3 linked regions of the Arabidopsis thaliana genome follow. The protein of the gene in region 3 interacts with the protein of the main gene of each other region in a pairwise test. Each region holds a gene or a part of one and is shown on either strand. Other genes may lie near its edges.

Region 1 (6,951 bases), on a different chromosome or scaffold from region 3:
GCTTTCACTACACTAAAAACAAACTTAATCTCAAAATTTAGATGGATTAAACTCAAAACTTTTTAATTAATTGAATAGGATTTTAGGATGATGCAGTGAATATAGACTATTTGGTGAAAAAATACAACGTAACGTACGTGGCTGCTCTAAGCCTATATAACATAGCCCAAGAGAGTCGTGTTCTAATGTGATTAAGTAAAGTGAGGGAGAAGCAACGAGAGATAGAGATAGAGAGATCAAGATGAGAGGATCTGATCAGAAGATTCTACTGATGGTTATGGTGGTTGTAGCAGTTGTAGCTGCGGCTCAAGGCCAAGAAGAGACTACTGGATTCGTGACATGGGGTAACAATTACTACCAGACATGGGGACATCAAGCTTTGGTTATTAATAAAACCTCTGAGCTCCAGCTCACCCTCGATAAAAACTCTGGTTTTCTATCTCTCTTTCTCTCTGTCTACATGTGTCTGTGTGTTTGTGTCTAGTCGATGATTGTGATTGGTCTATGTTCCTTACAGGGTCCGGGTTTGAATCCCAATTGATTTACGGATCAGGATACTTCAACGTAAGAATCAAGGCACCTCAAACTACGTCTACGGGAGTCATTACTTCCTTCTATGTACGTGAATGACCAGTAAACTTAAGTTTGTCTAAAAATAAAGATGATGAGATTACGTACCTGAATAGCTTTTTGAAATCTGTTTTTCTGCTATACGGCAGTTAATCTCCCGTTCAAGCCGCCATGATGAGCTCTGTTTCCAGATCTTGGGAAAGAATGGGCCACCGTATTTGCTGAATACGAATATGTATCTGTACGGTGAAGGAGGCAAAGATCAGAGGTTTCGTCTCTGGTTTGATCCAACAAAAGATTACCATTCCTACAGTTTTCTTTGGAACCCTAATCAACTTGTGTGAGTATCATATAACACTTTTTATCAGATCATCCATTGATTAACATCAGTAACAAAAAGAAAATGTATTTCCACATTTTCAGGTTTTATGTTGACGATACACCGATCAGGGTGTACAGCAAGAATCCAGATGTTTACTACCCATCGGTGCAGACAATGTTCCTAATGGGAAGTGTGCAAAACGGATCGATAATTGACCCGAAGCAGATGCCTTACATTGCTAAGTTCCAGGCATCAAAGATTGAAGGGTGTAAGACTGAGTTCATGGGAATAGATAAATGCACTGATCCTAAGTTCTGGTGGAATCGCAAACAGCTAAGCTCTAAAGAGAAGACACTGTACCTAAACGCAAGGAAGACGTACCTGGATTATGACTATTGTTCTGACAGACAGCGATATCCAAAGGTGCCTCAAGAATGTGGAAGTTACACTTAGAGAAAGATCAATACCTGTCACAGGGTTAAGCCTACAAAACAATTATCTTGAAAAAATAACTTATGTTACTGTAAGATGCTTTATGATAAGCCTTTTCTATCAAATAACAACATTATTGTCATCAATGCTAGATACATTACTATGTCACGAGTTCATATACAGATACCTATTTACACAGAACCAAGTTGGTTCAGATCGGGTTTGCTTGAGGTTTACAAGCACTGAAACCTCTGAAAAGAACCTTACAGGTTACAAGACTGCATTTTCTCAGACATCAAGATAAGTCAAATATGAGAAAAAATCGGAAAGAAGCATACAATAGAAACTGCACATTAGATTATATATAGTTAGGCTAAGTCGCAGCAATGATGGTTTTGCTACAATAACATATACGTTAACAGAGAGAAACAAGAGTTTTTTTTACTCTTCTTTAACGAAGCCTTTTCATTGAATTTAGGCATAATCTATCAAACACATCCAAAATTCAAGGCGAGGTCGACTAATATCTGCTATCTTCAAGCAGGTCAAGCATCATCTGGAATACTCTGAGCTTAACTGCAAAAATGATACCAAAACATTGAAAGGTAAGTTTAAGGAGCCATAGTTCATTGATTCATTCAGATTCAGCAGAAGAGCAAGAGAATCTAGTTGTTTGATATAGCAATGTTTGCAAATTGCGATATGAAAACAATTTTCAAATCTTGATGATTACAGGATTAGAGATTGTTTATCATTCCAAATCCTAAAACCTTAATAAACAGAGAAATCTTGGACTAACATGATTATATCCCAAACAAACCAGACTTAGAGATTGTTTATCATTCCATCTCCTAAAACCCTAGACGATCATGTAATCAATCAATGTATATCACATTGCACAGAAAATGAAACTTTACCCTTGGCCGTCGAGATTCCCTTGACCGGAACTTCCACCACTACCATAAGAGACATCATCTCCCGTCCCCGTCGAAGTCTGCCAAACACTCTGCCACGCCTGAGACGGAGGCTGGACATAAACACCATTCGGATCCATAGCTGGTCTCCCAATCATCATCCCTCCAGGACCAGCTGGTTGTCCCATCGGCGGATAATAGTAAGGCACGCCGCTCGCGGTAGGAGCCACCACCATTCCACCACCGAGGACTGCGGCTTCGTCCTTAATCTCATCTCTAGGAACAATATCAACAAGGAAATCGAAGATATCAGTCCTAGTAATCGCAGCAGCGATATCGTTTTTCTGAAGCGTACGACGTTTATTCTCCTCAGCGTGAAGCCAAGATCTGATCGTGAGCTCGAGAATGAAAAGCTCACAAGCTTTCGCGAAGAGAATCGGTGCTTCTGCGGAGATCATACGAACATCTTCATCGGCTTTCATGATCTTTTTTATCCTAGCTAGTGGAAGCTGATGGTTTTTGAAATCGTTAACTTGTTCGATCTCTTGGCGTTGGTAGGTCCAGAATAGTTGGAGCTGTTGTTGTTGTTGTTGGAGAAGGTGGTGGTAAGAAGCTCCTCCTCCTGCGGCGGAGATGGTGGTTCCAGGTGGTGGAGGAGGGATTCCGGCGGCGGAGGGAGGTGGTTGCTGGTTGTTGGTATCCATTGGTCGGTTTTGGATTTTGATTTTTGGATCAAAAAGGTCGTGACAAGTTTTTGCCAAAGGGATTGGGGTACAAGTGGATAAGGTGGACAGCGATGTAGCTGATGATTTTCTCTCTTTTTTTTCTATTTCCTAAATTAATTTTTTTCTATTTTCTATTTCAAGTTAAATTTTGTTTTTTTTTTACACGTACCAAAGTTCATATGCATCCGAAATGAACCAAAAGAAAACATCAAGAGTGAAGAGAGCTGTCAGGAAAATGTTGCATCAAGAGTGAAGAGAGCTCTTTATTTCCGACTTTGTCTTTGCCATCGAGTATCGTCTTCAAGGTATCATCGCATCGTATCCGCCATTTACTACACTTCGTAATCTACAAATGAAACAAGTGAGCTCTAAACAAATCATAATCTCTAAACATGAAAATGCAATCTATGACCACCAAACAGAGAAGCAAGCACAAGGTCCAAAGCCACCTAAAGACACTCTATATTCGTAACTGGTGAATTCTTCATCTGACAGTGTATGAATTGACAAGCTAAGTTTTCAAAATATGCAATCAGAAAAGACCATTTCCACAAACAAAACCAAAACATTCAAGTGAGTAAACAACATTTTCAGCGTAGATGTCAATTACTCCAATAATGACCAACACAAGAATCAAATCACTACCATTCTCCAGTCTCTAGAGACTCCAATCCCTAAATGCATAAACATGTAAAGAGGAGATCATAAGGAAAGTAAAAAAGCTAACCCAAGGAAACTCGAGCAGAGTAACACCCTCATCTACGAGCTTGTGATCAAAGGCATAATCTAGCAATTTTCTCAAGGCGGCGTCAAAAGAGATTTCGCTTTGGCCGACGAATCTAGCCAGCGGCTCTGAGACTTTCACAATATCATTGAACCCCCATTTTTCTATAGTACCTCCACCGGTAGCCTTCACCTTCGCCGACATAGTTCTAACGTTAGGAAAATGTCGCAACAAAAGCTCCGTCATCTCTCTGACTCCGACGACTTTGTCTTGGCCATCGAAAATCGTCTTCAAGTTATCATCGCACAGTATCTCCTCTATATTCTCCGGATTCTACAAATCAAAGACCTATAAATCAGATACATTGCTCCAACAGAAAGAATCAGATCAAAAGACCTAGAAATCACCAAAAAAAAAAGTAGAATGAAAGGAAACTGGAGAAGAGTTTCGAAATCCCTAACCCAAAGATTGTGATCATCGGTATACTGCTCCACTTTCTCCATGGCGGTGGAAAAAGAGACTTCGCTTTGGCCGACGAATCTAGCCAGCGACTCTGAGACTGGAAAAATCTTATGAATTCCTCCTCTTCTATCAACGCCGGCGCCGGTAGCCGTCGCATTAGTCACCGCCTTCGCCATCAGTGTCCTGCATCCTCCTAGAATCTTAGAAATTGGCGACATTGTTGTTTCTCCTTCACTCCACTGCCCCTAACAATAAACAATTGAAGAAAAGTCTCCAACTAAAGAAATTGATGCAACTCATTTTGGGCCTTGTTGAATATTTATATATGGGCCTAATTGGGCTTCAGTTATATTGGGAGTTTATGAAGATCTTTCGATTGCTCAACATATCACTAACATTAACAATGAATTTTGTCTATTTCTTTGTTCCTCAATTCTAGTTTCCATACATAAAATCACACATTTTCAGATCAAAACATAGGAAGACGAATGCAAACAAGATTTTTAATCAGTTGTGTGGCCGTGTAGTGAGCGAAGATCGCATATCGACAATAGCAGATTTATCGGCACCAAGCTTCATTGCCTCTTTACTAGCTCTAATGAACCGAGAAGTAGCTCCTTTGACATACTCATGAGCTTGTTTCACAGTCATCTTCTTTCCAATTTCTTCCGGGAAGCTACTGAGGAAGTGATCACCATTGAGAACCGCTGCAAGCTGAACCACTTCACCTTGAAACTCAGAAAGAGCAGCGTCTTCTTTAGGCTCAGTGGCTCTCATAGGTGCAACTTCAGGTAGAGTCATGGGACAATCGGTTCGAGGAGTGGTTAAGTGAGATACAACGTCTTCGAAAGTAGCAGCCCATGCATCTCTATGTGTTAAGAAATTGGAAGAGAGATTGAAGAGTTTCTTGATTGTCGCTGGTATTGATGAATGCTCGTACTCTGAGCTCTCTGTTGGTCCTTTTGCTTCACTTACGACTTCATTCAAAACATATAATAAAATAAGATGTTATTAAACTATATATAGTAAAAAAATATTAAAATCAAATGGGGTCAAAGGATGGTTGAAAAACATGAGTCACGCAACGACGCCGACAAATTATAATATACTCCATCTTTCAATGGCATAATCAATGGATTCAATTATTTTCTCCACCATTATTAATGAATACAATCTTATAGTTGTCAAATGCCATCCATGTGATTTGGTTTTTGCAGCCTTAAATTTTGTTAGCAAATGTCAAAAATCTGTCGGAAATAGTAGTAGAAAGTGGAAATACATGAAATACAAATGAATTTCTTTTTTTGGGTTAAAGAAATGAATAGTTTCAATATTAATAATTCATAAGTGAAAAAAATAGTACGTTAAATAGGCATAAATACTACATATAAGTTTTTTGGTCAGTAGTTTCAAAACTATTTATATATCAAGTTCAAAAGCGGAGTGTTCTTGTTAATTTGGAAAAAAGCTTGAGGATTCTACTAAAAAGCAATGCACACTAAGAACAAATTTGTAAAATTATAATAGAGAAAAAGAGAACTAACCGGTTCCTTTTTGAATCCAAGGCGAAACCATAATGGTAGGAACACGAACACCTAACCGGTCGAATTTAAAGAAACCAGGAGCCGGTCCAGTATTCCCATCGGGATTTGGTATACCGACATAAGGAGTCTTGACGTGATCATAGAACCCACCATGCTCATCATAGGTTATAACTAGGAGCGTCTCGTTCCACTGTGGACTCGACCTAAGTGCCTCGTACACTTCTTTAACCAGCTTTTGACCGTTAGCCACGTCATGCGACGGGTGATCATCGTTAGCCGGTAAACCTTTGAGATCGAAATACCTCGGTTCGATTACGGTTAAGCTCGGTAACTTTCCTTTGGCCGCGTCTTTCTTGAATTTCAAATCGTATTGATGCAAATTGAAAATGTACTTTAGCTGTCGGAGATTACGGTAGAATAATGTGGTCGGAATATTCTGAAAGTATATTCCGAAGTCGATGTCGTTGCTATGAAGCGAATCAAATATCGTCTTCTGTGGATACCTGAAATTAAATGATGAATACATAACTATGCAAAATTTTATAATAGTTTATATTATCTCAATATTTTCTATGGAAACTAATCTTAAAAATTCAGTAATCAAGTGTGAAATTAAACTAATGAAAATTAACAAGGACTAATGAAAATAATAATTTAAAGAAAGAATTTGATAATGTTACCCTTGAGCGAGTTGTTTCTTGACATGGCTAGTGGAACCATGTGAGGTAGCCGAATAGACAAATAACCGGTTTGGTTGAGTCGGACCGGGAATTGAAGAAAACCACCGGTCGAACACAGCGAATTCCTTAACCAGCTCAGCATAAACCGGAACAGCTTCAGGCCTAAAGCCTTTCATTACAGTCTCCGACAAATTTCCCGGCATGGAAAGCGCTTGCTCAACGAAACCCATCATGGACGGGATCTGACCCGGCCCAGACCCGAATACTTGTTGCTCAACAGCTTCAAACGAATGACCCGGATCCGGATCCACAAACTCAGCATCACTAGTGAAACATATAGTTTGTGTAGAATTCGGAACCGGGTTACATTCTTGACCCGTTACACCGTTTATTGTCGGGTTTACTGAGTTCTTCATCCATCCTAAGAGATGATCGAAAGATCGATTCTCCAACACTAAAACGACGACGGTTTTGATTGGTGATTGCCATTGATGAGATCCTTGAGCTACATGTGTTTGTGTGAGAAGACAGTAGAGTGTGAGAAAGTGTGAGAAAGTTAAAGAAAATCTTGAAGCTGA
Region 2 (8,636 bases), on a different chromosome or scaffold from region 3:
AAAAAAAGGAAAAACCAAAAAAAAAAGAACTTAACTAAACAATAAATCAATAATAATGCTGATACGATATATTTTGTCCATATATATGAGATCGTAAATCTCTCCCATGACTGATAACTGATAAGAAATCTATGGATACCATCAATTCGGTGGGTTTGTTGAAGGTCTACCAAATCGAAGAAACACACATTCATTCTCGTAATCGTACGTATATTCATTTATCTAGCTTCTTTTATTTGAATTTTTACGCAATATGCAATTCGATTCGTAGACTCAGTTGAATATAATTGACCTAATACCTAATGCTTATAACTAAATATTATAGATACTATTCTTGAATGCAACATTGAGATGATCAAATCATTTACATTTACAATCTTATTTTTCTCGTTTGATGAAGAAATAATTTTGGGGAACAACCATATATAGATGAGTGATAAAGGTATTGCCACGTTCCATTACTGAGAAGCATAATTCAATTCATATCTTTTGGAGACAAATTCGACATGTCATTCCCTAAGTCTATTTCATATATTTAATTTTAAAAACATTGAATATTACTATATAGTTTATCAACTTATATGGATGTATATAGTATGTCCCATTCGAATAAGTGCATCAAAGCGAAACGAATTAAATGAGATTCACGACCAATGATTGTTGTTTATGTGTATACTATTAAGTTCACGTGAAGCTAGCTACAAGAATCACAGATATATACTACATTATTTGGATTAAAGTTTTAAAGTAACAAGAGTGATTTAAATTCGACCCGTAGGTTCTCTTAAACTATGAGAGTACTATATGAGTCTTTAATTATCTTGATCGAATATATGCCTTGGAATTGATTAATTAACGCCTCTTTGAAAAATTGGACAGTTGAATATAACATTTCATTTTAGGTGGGGTTTAATCATATTGTTTTGTCAACGCTAACGGAATTATTAAAAATGAACAATAAATGATATCACAAAAATAATTTTCATAAAACAAATAAGCAAACCACCATTGCCAAACCCAAAGAGGCGCACTATGCTTCCACCTTCAGGAACAGAAAAATAATAAACGTTCCTTGAATGAGAAATGGGAAATTAGTATATGGGAATTTATGTTCATGTATCTTTGACTATTTTTCTCTCAAACGATATTATTCGATACTATTAAACTATAGTTATTCACTAAATCTAAAACTGATTCGTTGAAATTTATGATATCTTCGTTTGGGGATTGTACTATATAGTTATCATGAGTTTGTACGCAGCCCATGCTTGCTAAGGTAAACAAAGTTTCATGGAAGGTTAAAAAGTGAAATAATGATATCAAAACCTTTTCCCGGCGAAATTACTTTTATTTATCTTTGATTTGTCTTGTAGCTTTTGGTTCTTCAGGTGAATTATTCAAGTTGGTTTAAAGATCCGTTGGTGGCAATGATTTGGTAGCACAGTTTAGTTATGACAGTTATAAAAAGATTTTTTTTTCTTTCTGATTAATCTTGATATTCCATTTAGAATAGAGTCATAGACATTGAGAAAAACGTAGGTTTACCACTTCCGCATTCAAATGTGTTAGAATTTAACAATCCACCTCAAAGATTTAAGTACTGATTAATATTTAAGATTGTTTTGCAAATGCAGAAGAAGAACCTCCATGTTCAATGATAGAAAGCCAAATCGTAAAACCGGATTGTCTATCTTCTCTTCTCGAGAAGAAGCAAAGAAGAGAATAACAAAAACGTTACATCAAATAATATCTCAAAGGTAGAAGTCAACCACACATCCAAATCAAACACAAAACATAAAACAACGACCAGTTTACTGACTAAAGCAACAAACAAACAACAAAAATAGATCATTTTTAATTCTTCTTCATTTCCTTACATTCGTAGTCTTACTTACTTCATTTTAAAAATTCAGAAACTAAAGATATTGATGTTTTGAAATTTAAAAACACCACCAAAAGATCGCACATATTTTGTATAGTTAGAAAGCTTTGTCATGTTCCATCTTTTAAGCTCTCATCTTCGATTTCTCCATTGCTCTCGGAGCTGCAGCTGCAATATCACCAGTTCACCACATTGAATCATTAAGACATTTTGAATCAGAGAAGACGAGTGATCAAACATGAATTGAAATCAGTTTAATTTCGATTTTATTTACATGTTAATTTGTTGTATTTACTCCCAAAAGAAGACGAGTGATCAAACATGAATTGAAATTTCTAAATCAGCTACAAGTAACTCACACCAACAAACCACTAATCTCATCATACACACTACTTGTAATCGGTTTTAGTAGAGATAGTAGTTTACGTTGTAGCTTAGGAGCAGAGAGAAGAATAGACTTTACCTAACCCAATAGCATCACACCCTTTCATTATCTTCAGCTTCTTGCAGACATCAATAAACATCCTGTAATATACATCGGATCAGAAATCACTCATGAGCGCTTATACCAATCACCATGATATAATCTTCTATGGCATGTTAGATTTGATTCTAAGATATCTGGCAGAGAGTAGAGAAAGCTTCTAACAAGTTTTGAATATAAGAGAGGAAACTTACTCCCACGGAACATCTCCAACAAGCATCCAGTCACCATCCTTATCCTCATAAGTGAGCACATAGTCTTTTCCATTCAAAAGATCCTTGAGCTTGGTCTCACTAAGCATATCCTTCCCAGCAGCTCCATTAGATCCACATTGACCTAAACATCAAATAAACAGTGCAGGTTAACTACTTTGACTGCACTCATTCATTGATCCTTAAATAGAAAGAGGTTTTCAAACACATCACTAGCAATCACTGAAACATCTCACCAAGAGTGAAAGTGGTGAACATTTTCTCCAAGGCTGAAGAAAGCTCCCCGTAGTTAGTGTAGCTCCTCAGGTCAACTTTCCTCAGATAAGGAGCACCATCCATACTGACCTTCACGAAGAGAGCCCCAGAACCTGGCCTCCCATCAACTTCGTCACTGTTCTTACAAGTAGTGGCCAATGTGTTCTTCCTGTAGGATCTCACTGGAGGCCAACCGACAATTTGTGCCCTGAAAATTCCAGAATCCGAAAAAACACCAGTTAGCTAGCTGTTGAAAGTAATCCATATCAAAATCGAACGAATGCTCCTATCTTCTATTCATACTTGGCTGCAGGTGGACTAGAGCTATTGTTTGTAGTGCTAGACTGTCCTTTGGGTATGTTTTGTGGCACATCTTTCTTTGTTACAGACTGGGTGGCTGCTGCTTCAGGGAACATCCAGTTTTTCTCAGTATACACTGAACTTTTAGCTTCAGCAAACTGATCCATTGTGTCAGAAAAGCCTCTTTTGTTTCCCGATGCATTGTTCTTTTGCGAGGAGGAGCATATCTCATCTTTAGAAGGAAGCAAAGGAAAGAATGGCTTCTCATCTAGCTTTGCTGGGCTCAAAAGGTTAAGCTCTGTGTCTCTCGCAGGAGATTGTGATCCAGGAAGACCAAGTGTCAGCTCCGTAGCCTTGAGGCTGATAGTAGCTTTGTCATCTTCAGCAAGGGGAGAGAGAGTAGAGCTTCCAACAGAAGAACAATCAGAGAGACCCAAGTAGTTATGCTCTTTAAGTCCTCCTAGAGTGTTCCTGGAGATGCAATTGCTAGTAGGTGAAGAACTAGCCACCGATACATTGCTCTGTAGCTCCTCTTCCGGGGACATTGGATACTCAAGGTTTCTTTAACTGCAAAGCTGCTTTACCTGATGATTTACACAGCACAAAGTCCTCCACATTAAATTCACATAACCATAAACAAATCCTCAAACAAAACCCTAAATTACCAGAAAAAATCAAGAACTCAATTTCAATCAAAATTCGAAGAAACTCGAAACCGTATCAATTAGGGTTTCAAAAGTAGATTGCATCTATGAAAAACTCACAACCAAAATTTAGAGCAAAATAAAGCTCAATCTGAGAAAAAAATGGAAAGCTAAAAATAAATAGAAGTCAACTTAAGGTCAGATGAAGAAACTACACCGTTGAGTTACATTTTTCGAGCTGATCTCAGATTTGAATTTCCACAGAATTCTATCTACAAATCACTAAACCTAGCAAGGTTTAAGCCAACAGCTCAAACAAACCAAAATTCGCCATAGAAATAGTGAGGAAATCAGCAAAGAAACTCAATAGCTAATAGATCTAATAACTACTAACTACACACACAAACAACAACAAGCTAAAAATTACCGGATTTGAAACTATGTATAAGAAGAACAGAGAAGACATAATTACCTCAAACGGAAAAAACAAATCCTGGATGAAAAATGGAAGCTCACAACGAAGAAGAAGAAGACGATCAAAAATAAGAGAGTCTGAGATATTTTGGAGAAGAAGAGTATAATTTTTAAGAAACTGTAGAAGATGAATAGCAAAGAGAAAGAGAGAGAGAAGTGTCAAGGTCCTTCCATTAAAGCAGAAAAAAGCTTAATTATCATTACCCAGAAACTCGTAGCCGAGATTAAAATTAAAATAACTAAACAAAGTGGTAGAATAGAAAATAAGTGGAAAAAGTTGCGTATTTTTATTTACGAATGGATTCTAATCCAACGGCTCAGATTTGATCGTGCTGATAATTCTAAACCGTCGGATTTAAATCAGCAGATATGAACCGTTGATGTACAAATGTCGGGAGTCGGATCTTTAAACAAAATTATGCCACTTTTCTGGCTCCACCCGAAAGGGGATGGTTGTCTGCAAATATTAAATTCCGATTCTATCCTTTTGTTTTTAATGACTAATGTAACCTCTATGTGATGATAATGTGATTGAGGAATGAAGGGTAAAATGGTAAAGAGAGAAAAAGAGGAGTGAGGAGGGGACAAGAAAGCGGCATTCCAAGTCGGTTTGCCGGGTGGTGAATGGGACATCTAACCTCTTCCACTTTCTTCCTTTCTCTCTCTATCTCTACTTTATTAATCTAAAATTAATTAAGACTTGTTAATCTTTTTTTATAATCACTTTCTTTCTTTCGGATTAAATTTAATTAAATTCCGCCACCTTCCTAATTTCTTTAACTTTCATTATTACGTTTCCTTATCTTTCAATTTTTTTTACTTAGATTGGCCCAACTGGATGGGGCCCATTGAGAAATGTTAGTCCCCCCAAACTTGAATTTTTCATTTTGCTTTTTTTTTTTGGTTTGGCATTCATTGTAGTCTTCTAGATAGATGAATGGGTAAATAGTATAAGTAACTTTAATAATGACTATAGATTAATCTTTTTCATAAGGTTACGTCACGTGCTAGATTTTTGTTTTTTATTTTTGTTGAATTTGCACTTAAATAAGTAAACTGATTGAAACAAAATTATAGTCATGACAAAAATTAGATACATACAAGTTTGTCCGAATTGAGTTTAAAAAAAAAATCTCATTTTTTGAAAGTATAATTTGTGGTGTTATTGTTAGAAGTACAAAATTTGAATGTGAACAACATACATATTTCTGGAGTATTAAATATGTCTGAATTGCACTGTTACGATCATCATACACAACGTTTAATCCATAGTAATAAGGATGATTGGTTAAAAAGTAAAAAAGTAAATTCGTTGGTAATAAACAGGTAAATTATGTATGTTAATTTTTATAGTCGGTTACATTCTTTTCGTGTTAAAAAGAAAAAAAGAAAAAAATTATAGTCGGGTGTAATATACATAAAAAAAATTACTGTAAAAAATTCAAAGTAATTAAAAAAGGAAGGTAATGGGAATTGGGGAAAGGGGAGCATAATAATAACAAAAGGGGTGAAATGGGATTGAAGAACACGCATGGGAAGCACAAAATATCTCAATCTGACCGTAGGATTTGATGGTAAGAGAGTAAGAGAGGCCTGTGTCCGTTCATCATCATCATGACCTTCTCTGACTCTTTTTTTTTCATCATCACTCTTCCGTACCACTCACGTTATCTCTTTTTTACCCCTCTCTATTCTTTTTAACCTTTTTTCTTTCCTTTTACCAAAGATTTAAAGACGATTAATCAAAAAAAAAAGTCTTTAACACCTTATGCACAAAGAGGAAAGTAAAAGAAAAATATTCACCGTCCAGAATAATAATACGGCATTTCTTAACCTTCCCCGTAAAAAGTTTTGATTTTCTCTTTCTCATATTTTGTTTAATCGTCTGTATAATAAGTAAAGGATATTAATTATTTCAAATTACTACAACTACCATCAGACATTATATTTAAAATTATGAGTACATGAAAATATGTGTCTAATTAAAAAGTGATTGGTAAAAAACAATAATAGTAATACAGATAAATTATTACAAAAATGCAAAAGTAAACAGTAGATCAGATTAGCAGCATTTGCGAGTACAAATAATGCGGGTTGAGACAAGACAATGAGACCCGTAGTGCTTTTGTCCTTCACGCTTATTTTATTAGTCTTTGATTGATGATGGATTCACTAAAGTTAATTAATCTTTTTCCCCGTAATTAATTAATTTATAATTAGAGTGGAGGAAATCAAACGACAAGACACGTTAGACTGTTTACTTTGGGCCCAGACTTTGCACTCTAGTATATAAAAATTCATTTATAATTGGGCTTTTATTTCATATTATAACATAGGCCCATAAGCCACTATCCTTCTTGATGGGCCATAATATACTTACCTCTCTCGTATTAAGGATTTGTTGAATTTATAATCTACGTGTTGACCCCAAAAAAAATGTAATGTACGTAAGATATTTCTTCGTTTAGTCAGTCATGTTGCTGTCAACGTTTTTATAATTCTTTGTATCACAATTTTTTCAATTTTTTTTTAACTAGAAATACACAAAAACAACTAATTATTTATTGCAAATTGTTATATGTTTTATATGTCTCAATATAGGGTCAAACGACGAGCTACTAAATCGGATTTGCACAACAAAATAATATAATTAATTTTATCGAGTTCGTAATAGGACAATGTACCGAGCCGTGATCATCAATATACGAGAGAGCCATTAAAATATATTTGACCGAAAATCAAATACACCTTCGAGTTTTCACATAAAACCTCCGTCAGATATTTCATCCCTCGCAATAAATTACTACATAAAGATAACATTTTAAATTACATGTATATCTAGCTGTATATGAATTAGATATAAGAAAAAGAAAAAAACGGTTTCTTTTTCTTTCTATGTATAACACCTGTATTTGTACATATCGCTTAGGGTCTTAGTCTATATCAACATGGTCCCATACAGCTTAGTTTTTGCTTGTGGAACAGGTTTGGATTTTTCTACAACATAAGAGCTTATATTATAAATGCATATTAAGTCAATTTCTCTGTTTAATCAAATCTTTTTGGTTCTAGAATTGATGTCACCGAATCGCTATGTATCTTTGATTAGATTGGAGAAAAGACAGATTTGCGTCACTCTCAAAACAAACCCAACAACATGCTGCATACCTCATTGAAATCGTTATTAGTAGATAATAATTTGTAAGTTCATTTTTTGGACTAATTAAAAAGTTTAATGTTATTATGTTAGATATATATTATAATGGTTATTAACAACGTTTTAAGCAAACACACAAGTTGTGATATAAAAAGTGTAGGATCGTGGGGTTTAGGGTTTACAATTATAATGGTTAAAACACGTTTTATAGAATTTTTTGTTATTGATAGAAAAAAAAAAGTGATATAAAAAAGTGTAAGATGGGTTTAGTGGATATACTCATTGACCCTAAAAGAAACGGCGGTGACAAATTCAAGACCCATTCACAGTTCACACTTCGCACACACATAGATATAGATATTTTTATTGTGATTACAAGTTAAAATAGCAAGTCTACTTCCTAATAGAAATTCCTTGTATTTCATTTTAGAAATTTGAAACCAATTTTCTATAAACTCAATTGTACAGTATATGAAAGTAAGCACAATTTAAAAAGAAAAACTGAAAATAATTGTGCTTACTTTATTTTAGTTTTCGTCAATAACAGTGTTTATAGATGTTTGCATATGAAAGATCGTATCTAATCTTACTAAGAAACTTATAAATCTCAAAGATAATTGTTATCTTGTGTCAAATTTCGAAGAGGAACTAGAGCATTACATGGTGTGAATGTGTAATAAACTAACCATGCTCTTATTGCAGAGAAATCTATTCTTTATTGAACAAACTGGAACGTTTACAACATTTAAACATATAAAGAGACATGTAGATTCCAAAGGAACAAGTACAAGATATACATGAATCTAATAATATACATTATAGAGATCGATTATTCATTATTATCCAAAAACGCTGTTTTCAAGATGGACGGATGGAGTTAAAACCAATATCTGTGTACATAGAGGAATAATCTGATCAAGCATTAACACAATTAACTCGTAAAGCACCATTTTGAATAAGGCCGCCCAACTTATGTCATAATCTACCTCAACATGTGTTTTTTTTGTTAGTGAACCTAAACATGTGTCATCCTAGAATAGAAGATTGGATTAGCACAAAGATAACTAGCTTATACATAATCAACTTGTCGCAATATATAAATGAGTGAAGCATATGCGGAAACCGAGCTTAGACATATGGGATGATGATAACCACTAAACAAGTTAATGTAACACTATCCTACTATCCTTACACTTTTATGTCTAAATGAAATCTGTTTTAAAAAAAA
Region 3 (7,480 bases):
AACTTGTTCCGGCGTGTATCTAACGTACTTGCCGGAATCAAATCCTTTATCAGGAGAGTCTCTATCGTCCATGGAGTGATGAGCCATCATATCTTCCAAACAGGTCAGTAGAAATCAGAGAGAGAGAGAGGGTTTACAAAAAGAAGAATAAAGATCGATACTTTGAGAGAAGTAAAAGAGACTCAGATGAAGAAATATTAGATGGGTAGGCTCTCTGAGAAGAGAGAGCCTCCTGTGAGAGTGTTCATGAGATGGTAATGGTTGGAGAAAAGAGTTTTTTGGGTTTTTTTCATTTGCTCTCTCTCTCAAAGGAGATTGAAAGATGGAAAGAGGTAAAAGGAGCAAAAGCGAGGCAGCTAAGTAGAGAGAAGAGAGAGAAGAGAGAGAAGAGAGAGGAAAATACTGAAAAAGTAAAAGTAAAGATCTTTCTGAGAGAGAAAGGACAAGGAACAACCCAACAAGATGCACTAAACTGGTAAATATTGTTTTCAAAAAAAATTAAAGGTGAAATTTTTGGGAGAGTAGGTTGAATTCAATGTTTTTGGTTAAAAGCTTTTTACTGTTAAGGCAAAGTAAAAATATTTAAACTTTTTCTTATACAAAGCTAAGCTTGAATTTTAATTCAAAGCTTAAATTCTAAAAGTTAAAATGATTAACTAGGATAAAAGTTTATGTCTTTGATAACTCATTATCAAAGCGGTAGAGTTTGTACAACTTTGACAGTTATCATTTATAAAATCTTTATCAAAAACGTTATAAAAAGTTTTATTCTCAATTTTATTATACAACTTTCTCGTACAACTCTTTTTTATAGTTTGCAACTATTCCGAAAAATTTTACAATTCATCTAAATTACCAGTTGGACCCATATATATTCTTTGGTTGCCACCATATAAATATTATTAGTTAAATAGATAATTATAATATTGATTGAATTAGATTAACAATTCATTTTAAAAGTTTCGTAATATTTGATGCATAGTTATAAGTAAATAATTACTTGTTTTATTATTTTTTCTTACAACTCTTTTAAATAGGTTTAATATGAGATGGAATCTTGATTACACTTCTCTAATTCATATCATTACCACCTAATTTTCTTTGTGTAAACATGTTTCTGTATTCAATATTCTTGGATTAGATTAAAAGGACAAGTAGATGTTGACAATTAAAAAGGATTGAAAGTGATTAGTTTTGAAAAACTTAAATGCATTCAGATTTCAGACTAAGGCTAAACACAAACAGATGAGAAAACCAACACGCAAAGTTGTTGTCTCTGCAAATTTTAAGACATATCAATTATTATCAGAATCCCTAGTCCTAATGGCAATCGATAAGAATAAATATGTTTATCTATTGGTAACAAAAATAAATCATGCTACAACTATTTATATTCGTAAAACGTAAGTGTTGTTGTCAGAAGAAACGGAATTTTGACAAAATGGGGTAATTTGCTAACTTAGGGAAAGAAAGCACTTCTCTTTAAGCTCTGTGACAGTGGCCTACCCAAACATAGCATCAAATTTTCCCTACCCTCTTTGCTCTCTAGTCCTAAGACGTTGTATGTATGTATGTATGTGCATGTACATATTTTCATGATGATGGTGTTGTTGTATGCCTATCTTTTGTATCCATGTGGAAGAGACGATGCATGACAAGTATGTACAATGTCACTATGCGCGTGAGATGCGTGAAATCTGTTGTTTTTTTTGGTTAACCTTAATTGGTTTTATTTCCTTTAACTTGTTTTGAAAGTTTTGAATATAAATTAGGGAATTTAATGAAAAAAACCCTTAACTTTGGCCAGATCCATTTTAAACCCTAAACTATGTTTTTAGTAAAACAAACCCTGAACTAAAACCTGTTAATAAACTTAACTCCACAGTAATTAATTATTAATGGGATATTAATTTCTAAAAAAAAAAACAACGAGACATTTGTATTTAGCGCAAAAACCACATGATGTTCTTTAAAACTATTTTGAATTTATTACAAAAAAACGTTCTAAATGATTTTGAATTGCTTAATTAGTTTGGATTTTAGAAGCTGAAAGAAAGACACAACAACTTAAAATAATCCAAAGAGTCATACTTAAATAAATCCAACCAACATAACTATCGAAGCTGTTGCAACACAACAATATTTGTCACAAAAAAAACAATCGTTTCAGAGGGACAAGATATTCTAAAGTAAAGACTTGTCAAGCATTAACTTTGAAGAGAAGATTGTATTGGCTGAGTGATAGGGTTCTCTTCATCCATTGTTTTCTGTTTTTTCCTTGGTCGTCTTTGAGGTTTCTTGGGTGGTTTTGGCACTGCTTTACGCTTGCATGAACGTTTGTTGTGTCCGACTTGTTGATAGTTGCTACAAGTCTAAATATGCAAAGATTAAATTAAATAATTTGAAAAGGAAGATCTTGTGAAACATAATTCATTGTTTTCTATTTTACCATTTGAACTTTTTCACGTGTATAAAGAACTTTTTGAGGTGGACGATCTTCAGTTGGATCACGGATTCTGTCATTGTTCTTTGGTCGATTTTTGGAAATTAATATCCCATTAATATTTAATTACTGTGGGGTTAAGTTTATTAACAGGTTTTAGTTCAGGGTTTGTTTTACTAAAAATATAGTTCAGGGTTTAAAAATGGATCTGGCCAAAGTTGAGGGTTTTTTTTATTAAATTCCCTATAAATTATGAGAAAACAAAGACAGGTCTGCCTTTGCTGGGGGTACAACCTGTATTTTTGGTTGGTTACGATTTTTCAATTGGTTTGTATCCATTTGTCCAAACATTGTTTCTTTTCTATTCTTTTTTGGTTTTCTTATAACTTTCTATGATTTTTGGACAGAAATAAATATATAAATTAATATATTTATTTCTTATGTGAAGTATATATATACGCAAAATACAAGATTGATCATCACCTACTATGAAGGATTTCGATCTAACGGCACTTTTTACCTAGATAGCTAATTTGATATTTGAAGTAGAGAACAATGGAGAGATTCTCATCGAAATACCATACAAGTAGAAGCTCTTAATTATGAGGATCATGTTGCACATTCAAGTAATATTTCTCTGCACAATTGTCTGTAAATAGGAGAGCTATTTCGTAGAAAACCGAGTAAACTAAATCCAAAAAAATTCTGCCCTCCAAATAGATTTCCAACGATAAATACAAAATGGAGGCAGAAGCAACACATGTGGATGTACTTCGCTCCTCAAACGTCTCTGGTTTCGTCAGAAGGTTTGGTCTGATACCTCAACTCGATCCTACAAATAATAAGAAAACAAGCTAATTGGATTATTGATTTACAAGTGGCACAATAGATTTTTTTTTTTTGGGTCTAAAATGAGAGATAAAATTAATTTACAAATGGGTGAAATTCCAAGAAATTACAAAATTTTGATTACGAAGAATTTATTAATTTATATAGGTTATTAAGTTATTGACTATTATTTTTTAGAGGTTGTATTGTACTTGCATAACATTATCATAGATGAAATTATGTGGATAGAATCCTTGTAGATATGAAATGATCCTTGGTGCAAAGGTTTGAATATCGAAGTCAAGTATGGCTTCAATATCTCATTTGATGTATTCAACATCAACCAAGACACGATAACCATACTAACGTTGATAGGGCTCTATATTCCTCTTGAAAGTCAGAAAGGATTCTTGTTCTGGAGTGAGACTGTGAGAGATATAGTACCTAATCTTCTATGAGGAGGAAATACATATCGACCATCCACCCGTTCTTGCACATAGACCACAACCTTGGTGTCATTGTTTGTGGATTCTTCCATTCTTCGTTTTATTACCAAAATTTCTTATAACAAAACAATATCAGTAGCATTGTATTTAACTAAACATCATGGACATTATTTATTTCCCTTTTTCCTCGGTGGGTTTTATTTAATAATCACAAGTCTAAAACCCACTTCACGTTTACCTAATTGCTTCCCAAGAACCTATCTATACCTTTATACAAAGATTTGTATATATCATACACTAAAAGACATAGATGATCTGAGACCAAACAGAGCCAAAATACAACAAAGCTACTTGTAGGACCTTCTCAAGATGTACCACTAGAAGCAGCCATGGCGGATTTACCAGCGCTAAGGTTGGATTTTTCTTCATGACTACTGTCTTCGTGATGCTCATCCTCCTTCTTGGCATTTAGAAACCGCCCGCCACATCCTCTTGGTCGTCTTATCGCATGCAAATGCCGAGATTCATGCAAATACGGCTACAAATACACTCTCAAGATTTACACAAATGAAGTAAGATATCATAACCAATAAACGATTTAAGAAAAGTTTTCTTACCTTACGTGACTTGATGACTTTATTCTGAGACTCAAGTCTTGCTCTTGATTGTCTGCGCCTTAGTATACCGTGGTATTGCTTTGCGTTAACAAAAACAGGTTCCTCGACTGCATCAGATGGTAAAGGAACGCCTTGTTGCTGCACTCCCATCAACTGTAGATGTACCTGAAATGATTTGTAACATAAATCCAACTTATCCAGATAAGAACAATCGTCGTAGGGTGGACTAAGTAATACACCATACCCCGGTATACGGTTGTGGAGGCGGTGCAAATATGCTTCTGTAGTAAGGATCTGGATATGGATATTGTCCAGGTGCCTTTAATTATAAGAATACACATACATAAAACATGAACAAAATTTTGTTACTTGTATATCGTCTGAAAATGCAGAAAGGTGATATTGTATTAGTCATGGTGCCAAGAAGTAGTTAAACCTAGAAATTATCAACTAGAAGGTGCTACATATGAAGAGCAAAAAAATACAAATTAGCTAGCTTCAAAGGCAAGGCAATCAAAGATTTGGACGAAACTCATTAGCAATAATCAAGAGAGGTGTGATCAAACATTTCCATTTTTACCATGGAATTTGTAGTCCCCGGGTCTGAGTAGACTAAACTTGTAACAATTGATTCATAATTTCTTGCAGAAGGGATTGGTGGTTGGAAATGAGAATCTCTCTGTTCTTGCTTCTCATGACTTCCAATGTTATCTGGACAAGAACACACCAAACTTAACAAGAGAGCACCACCAAAAGAATCATTAACAGCAAACCAAATGAACTATAAAACAAGCTTAGGTAAAAATCTATCTTCTGAAAGCAGAATCAACTTGAAATAAAATATAAGCATAAAATGAATAAGGAAGAGAGAGAGCAAAACCAGAAAGCTCATGGATTGAAGAAGTCATGACTCATGAGCTTAATGTCCGAAGCAGAATTCTGAAAAGTTCCAAAGAACAGAGTCAGTACATGATCCTGGTAAACCTATTTTAAATAAACTCAAGAACCAGAACTATCAAATCCCCACAAAATCATTAACCTCATATTTAAACTAAACAAGTCAAGCTACTTAGAATAATCACAGAACCAAATCAGAACATCCACAACTTTCATAAATAACAACAAAAGATGATAAACCATAATTAAACCTATAATTCTCACAGTCCTACTAAATCCTAAAACAGCAAAGCAAAATTCTAACAAAAAACAAATCAAAGGCTAAGAATTTCAAAACCAATATATAAAATTTACCTCTCTGCAATTTTCTCTGACGACGATTAGAGAGCCTCTTCTTGAAAATGAAGAACAGAGAGAGAGCGAGAGAGTGTCGTTTTCTTCCCTTCCTCAAGTTATTCCGCACTTTTAATATCCCCAAACTTCAGAGCGTCCTTCTCAACTAGCATAAAACGTCATGACGTTTTCAGTCTTCAGCAAGTAAAGAAACGGCAGAGTTTGTAACAATTGATGCGGACGCAATATCGATCGTACAAGTGGAGAATTAGAGAAGCGTTTTAGATTGCACGTAGCAGATTACGGGCAGATCTAAAATTTGCTGACCGAAGCAGCTCGCTTACACTACTGATTAAGTCCACGGGGACCTAACCTCTACCCGTTGCCCGATTCTTATTGGTATTTTCTGTTGTGTGAGTCATCGATAGCGAAACCGGTTCGTATTTGTTTGAATTCTAGAGACATCAGACAAGAGAGTAATCTCGGTTCGGTATGAATCTATGACACTAATTCGAATTGTTCAGCTACATAACCGAACAAAAGCCGAAAATTCAAAATACTTATGTTTTGGTAAACCGATGATTATTATGATTTATTGATTTATAAACTCTCTAAAATTTTCATTAAAATGACGTTAGGCGATTCGAATATTTTATGCAATATTCTATAACCTTTGGTTGGGTTTATGGCAGCACATGTAAGATAAGATTATTCTCAACTTTAATAGTATATACCTTTTCGTCGTTTTCTTGATGGCTCATGTCACTACATAAATGATATATTGATTATTCTCTGAGAATATTCTCTTCTCAAAACCAACAAATTTCAGATATTATCATCATATCATGTTTGAAAAGTAGAAAAACACCAAATTCAAATTTATTACGATTCTTAAATCAAAAATCAAAAACAGCAAATACAAATAAAGAGCTCAATAGACTTCAACGTGCCACTGCTTGTTCTTCCTGAGCTGAGAAAGCTTCAAGTCCCAGCTCTCACCTCTCTCTTCTGCAACTCTCTTAAGTGTATCTTGAATCCCAGGCATCATTCCTTTAAGCCCACAGAAGTAAATATGAGCTCCATTGTCCAAAAGCTTGAAGATCTCATCACTATATTCTTCAATCTTGTCCTGCACGTACATCTTTCCACCTTTCTTGTTCTTCTCCTCTCTGCTCAATGCCTTGTCGAACCTAAAGTTGTCTGGATGGTCTTTTAGGTACTTGGTAAACTCTTCGTCATAGAGAAGGCTATCGGTGTTGGCCACGCCTAAGAAGAGCCAAGCTAAGCCGCTAAATGTCTTGTTTGGGACGTTTTCCATGAACATTCGACGTAAGTAGCCTCTGTATGGAGCCACTCCTGTTCCCGTGGCTATCATTATGTGTGTCGCGTTTGGATCACTCTCGGGTAATAGCATTACCTTCCCAGATGGACCTGGTTTTGAAATGTATATTGAGTTAAAAGAAAACTTAGTCCAAGGGGTCTTTAAGTATGAGATCAGTTGGTTGGGTAATTAGTTTACATACCGGTGATTTGAATCTTGTCACCGGGCTTTGAATCACATAGGAAGTTGCTGCAGACTCCGTTCTTTGAAGGATCTTCTTTTCCAGTCTCAGGGTCGTAATAAACAGCTCTACGTACACACAAACTCGCTGTTTTACCGTCAAAGAAATCTCCGTACCTTGTTGATGCAATTGAGTAAAGGCGCACATTGTGTGGCGCTCCCGGTTTCTTCGGGTTCTCACCCTACACGCAAAAGTTCCAGTTCATTAATAGATTTAAGAGATTAAGAATGGTGGTAACAATTTGAAGACAACGTAACAGCACGAGGGACATGACTTACTGGAGGAATCACACCGTAACTCTGTCCTTCCCAGTAAGGAAGGTTACCATCATGATCGATGACGATATGACAAGTT

Evidence for each region.
Region 1: the proteins of NF-YA7 (region 3) and NF-YC1 interact in a two-hybrid assay, tested with the Arabidopsis thaliana proteins (one study listed by BioGRID).
Region 2: the proteins of NF-YA7 (region 3) and IAA9 interact in binary tests that used the Arabidopsis thaliana proteins (3 or more experiments, as listed by UniProt).

Annotation. Positions count from the first base shown.
Region 1 is NC_003074.8:18,006,997-18,013,947, forward strand, and holds NF-YC1 (nuclear factor Y, subunit C1), read right to left. Parts: upstream 3,023-6,951; 5' UTR 2,943-3,022; coding exon 2,242-2,942; intron 1,901-2,241; coding exon 1,897-1,900; 3' UTR 1,597-1,896; downstream 1-1,596. Other genes in the region: XTH11 (xyloglucan endotransglucosylase/hydrolase 11), read left to right, coding at 242-431, 518-618, 720-910, 994-1,345; AT3G48600 (SWIB complex BAF60b domain-containing protein), read right to left, coding at 3,172-3,309, 3,691-4,020, 4,149-4,367; NPC6 (non-specific phospholipase C6), read right to left, coding at 4,657-5,126, 5,694-6,196, 6,374-6,951. UniProt on the Arabidopsis thaliana protein: Stimulates the transcription of various genes by recognizing and binding to a CCAAT motif in promoters.
Region 2 is NC_003076.8:26,249,505-26,258,140, reverse strand, and holds IAA9 (indole-3-acetic acid inducible 9), read right to left. Parts: upstream 4,734-8,636; 5' UTR 4,250-4,733; intron 4,195-4,249; exon of another isoform or gene 4,006-4,194; intron 3,718-4,005; 5' UTR 3,679-3,717; coding exon 3,137-3,678; intron 3,042-3,136; coding exon 2,815-3,041; intron 2,703-2,814; coding exon 2,561-2,702; intron 2,408-2,560; coding exon 2,346-2,407; intron 2,051-2,345; coding exon 2,007-2,050; 3' UTR 1,597-2,006; downstream 1-1,596. UniProt on the Arabidopsis thaliana protein: Aux/IAA proteins are short-lived transcriptional factors that function as repressors of early auxin response genes at low auxin concentrations.
Region 3 is NC_003070.9:10,800,655-10,808,134, forward strand, and holds NF-YA7 (nuclear factor Y, subunit A7), read right to left. Parts: upstream 5,775-7,480; 5' UTR 5,586-5,774; intron 5,274-5,585; 5' UTR 5,243-5,273; coding exon 5,215-5,242; intron 5,046-5,214; coding exon 4,915-5,045; intron 4,654-4,914; coding exon 4,579-4,653; intron 4,500-4,578; coding exon 4,335-4,499; intron 4,256-4,334; coding exon 4,082-4,255; 3' UTR 3,796-4,081; downstream 1-3,795. Other genes in the region: PHV (Homeobox-leucine zipper family protein / lipid-binding START domain-containing protein), read right to left, coding at 1-90; RFNR2 (root FNR 2), read right to left, coding at 6,496-6,995, 7,088-7,307, 7,405-7,480. UniProt on the Arabidopsis thaliana protein: Stimulates the transcription of various genes by recognizing and binding to a CCAAT motif in promoters.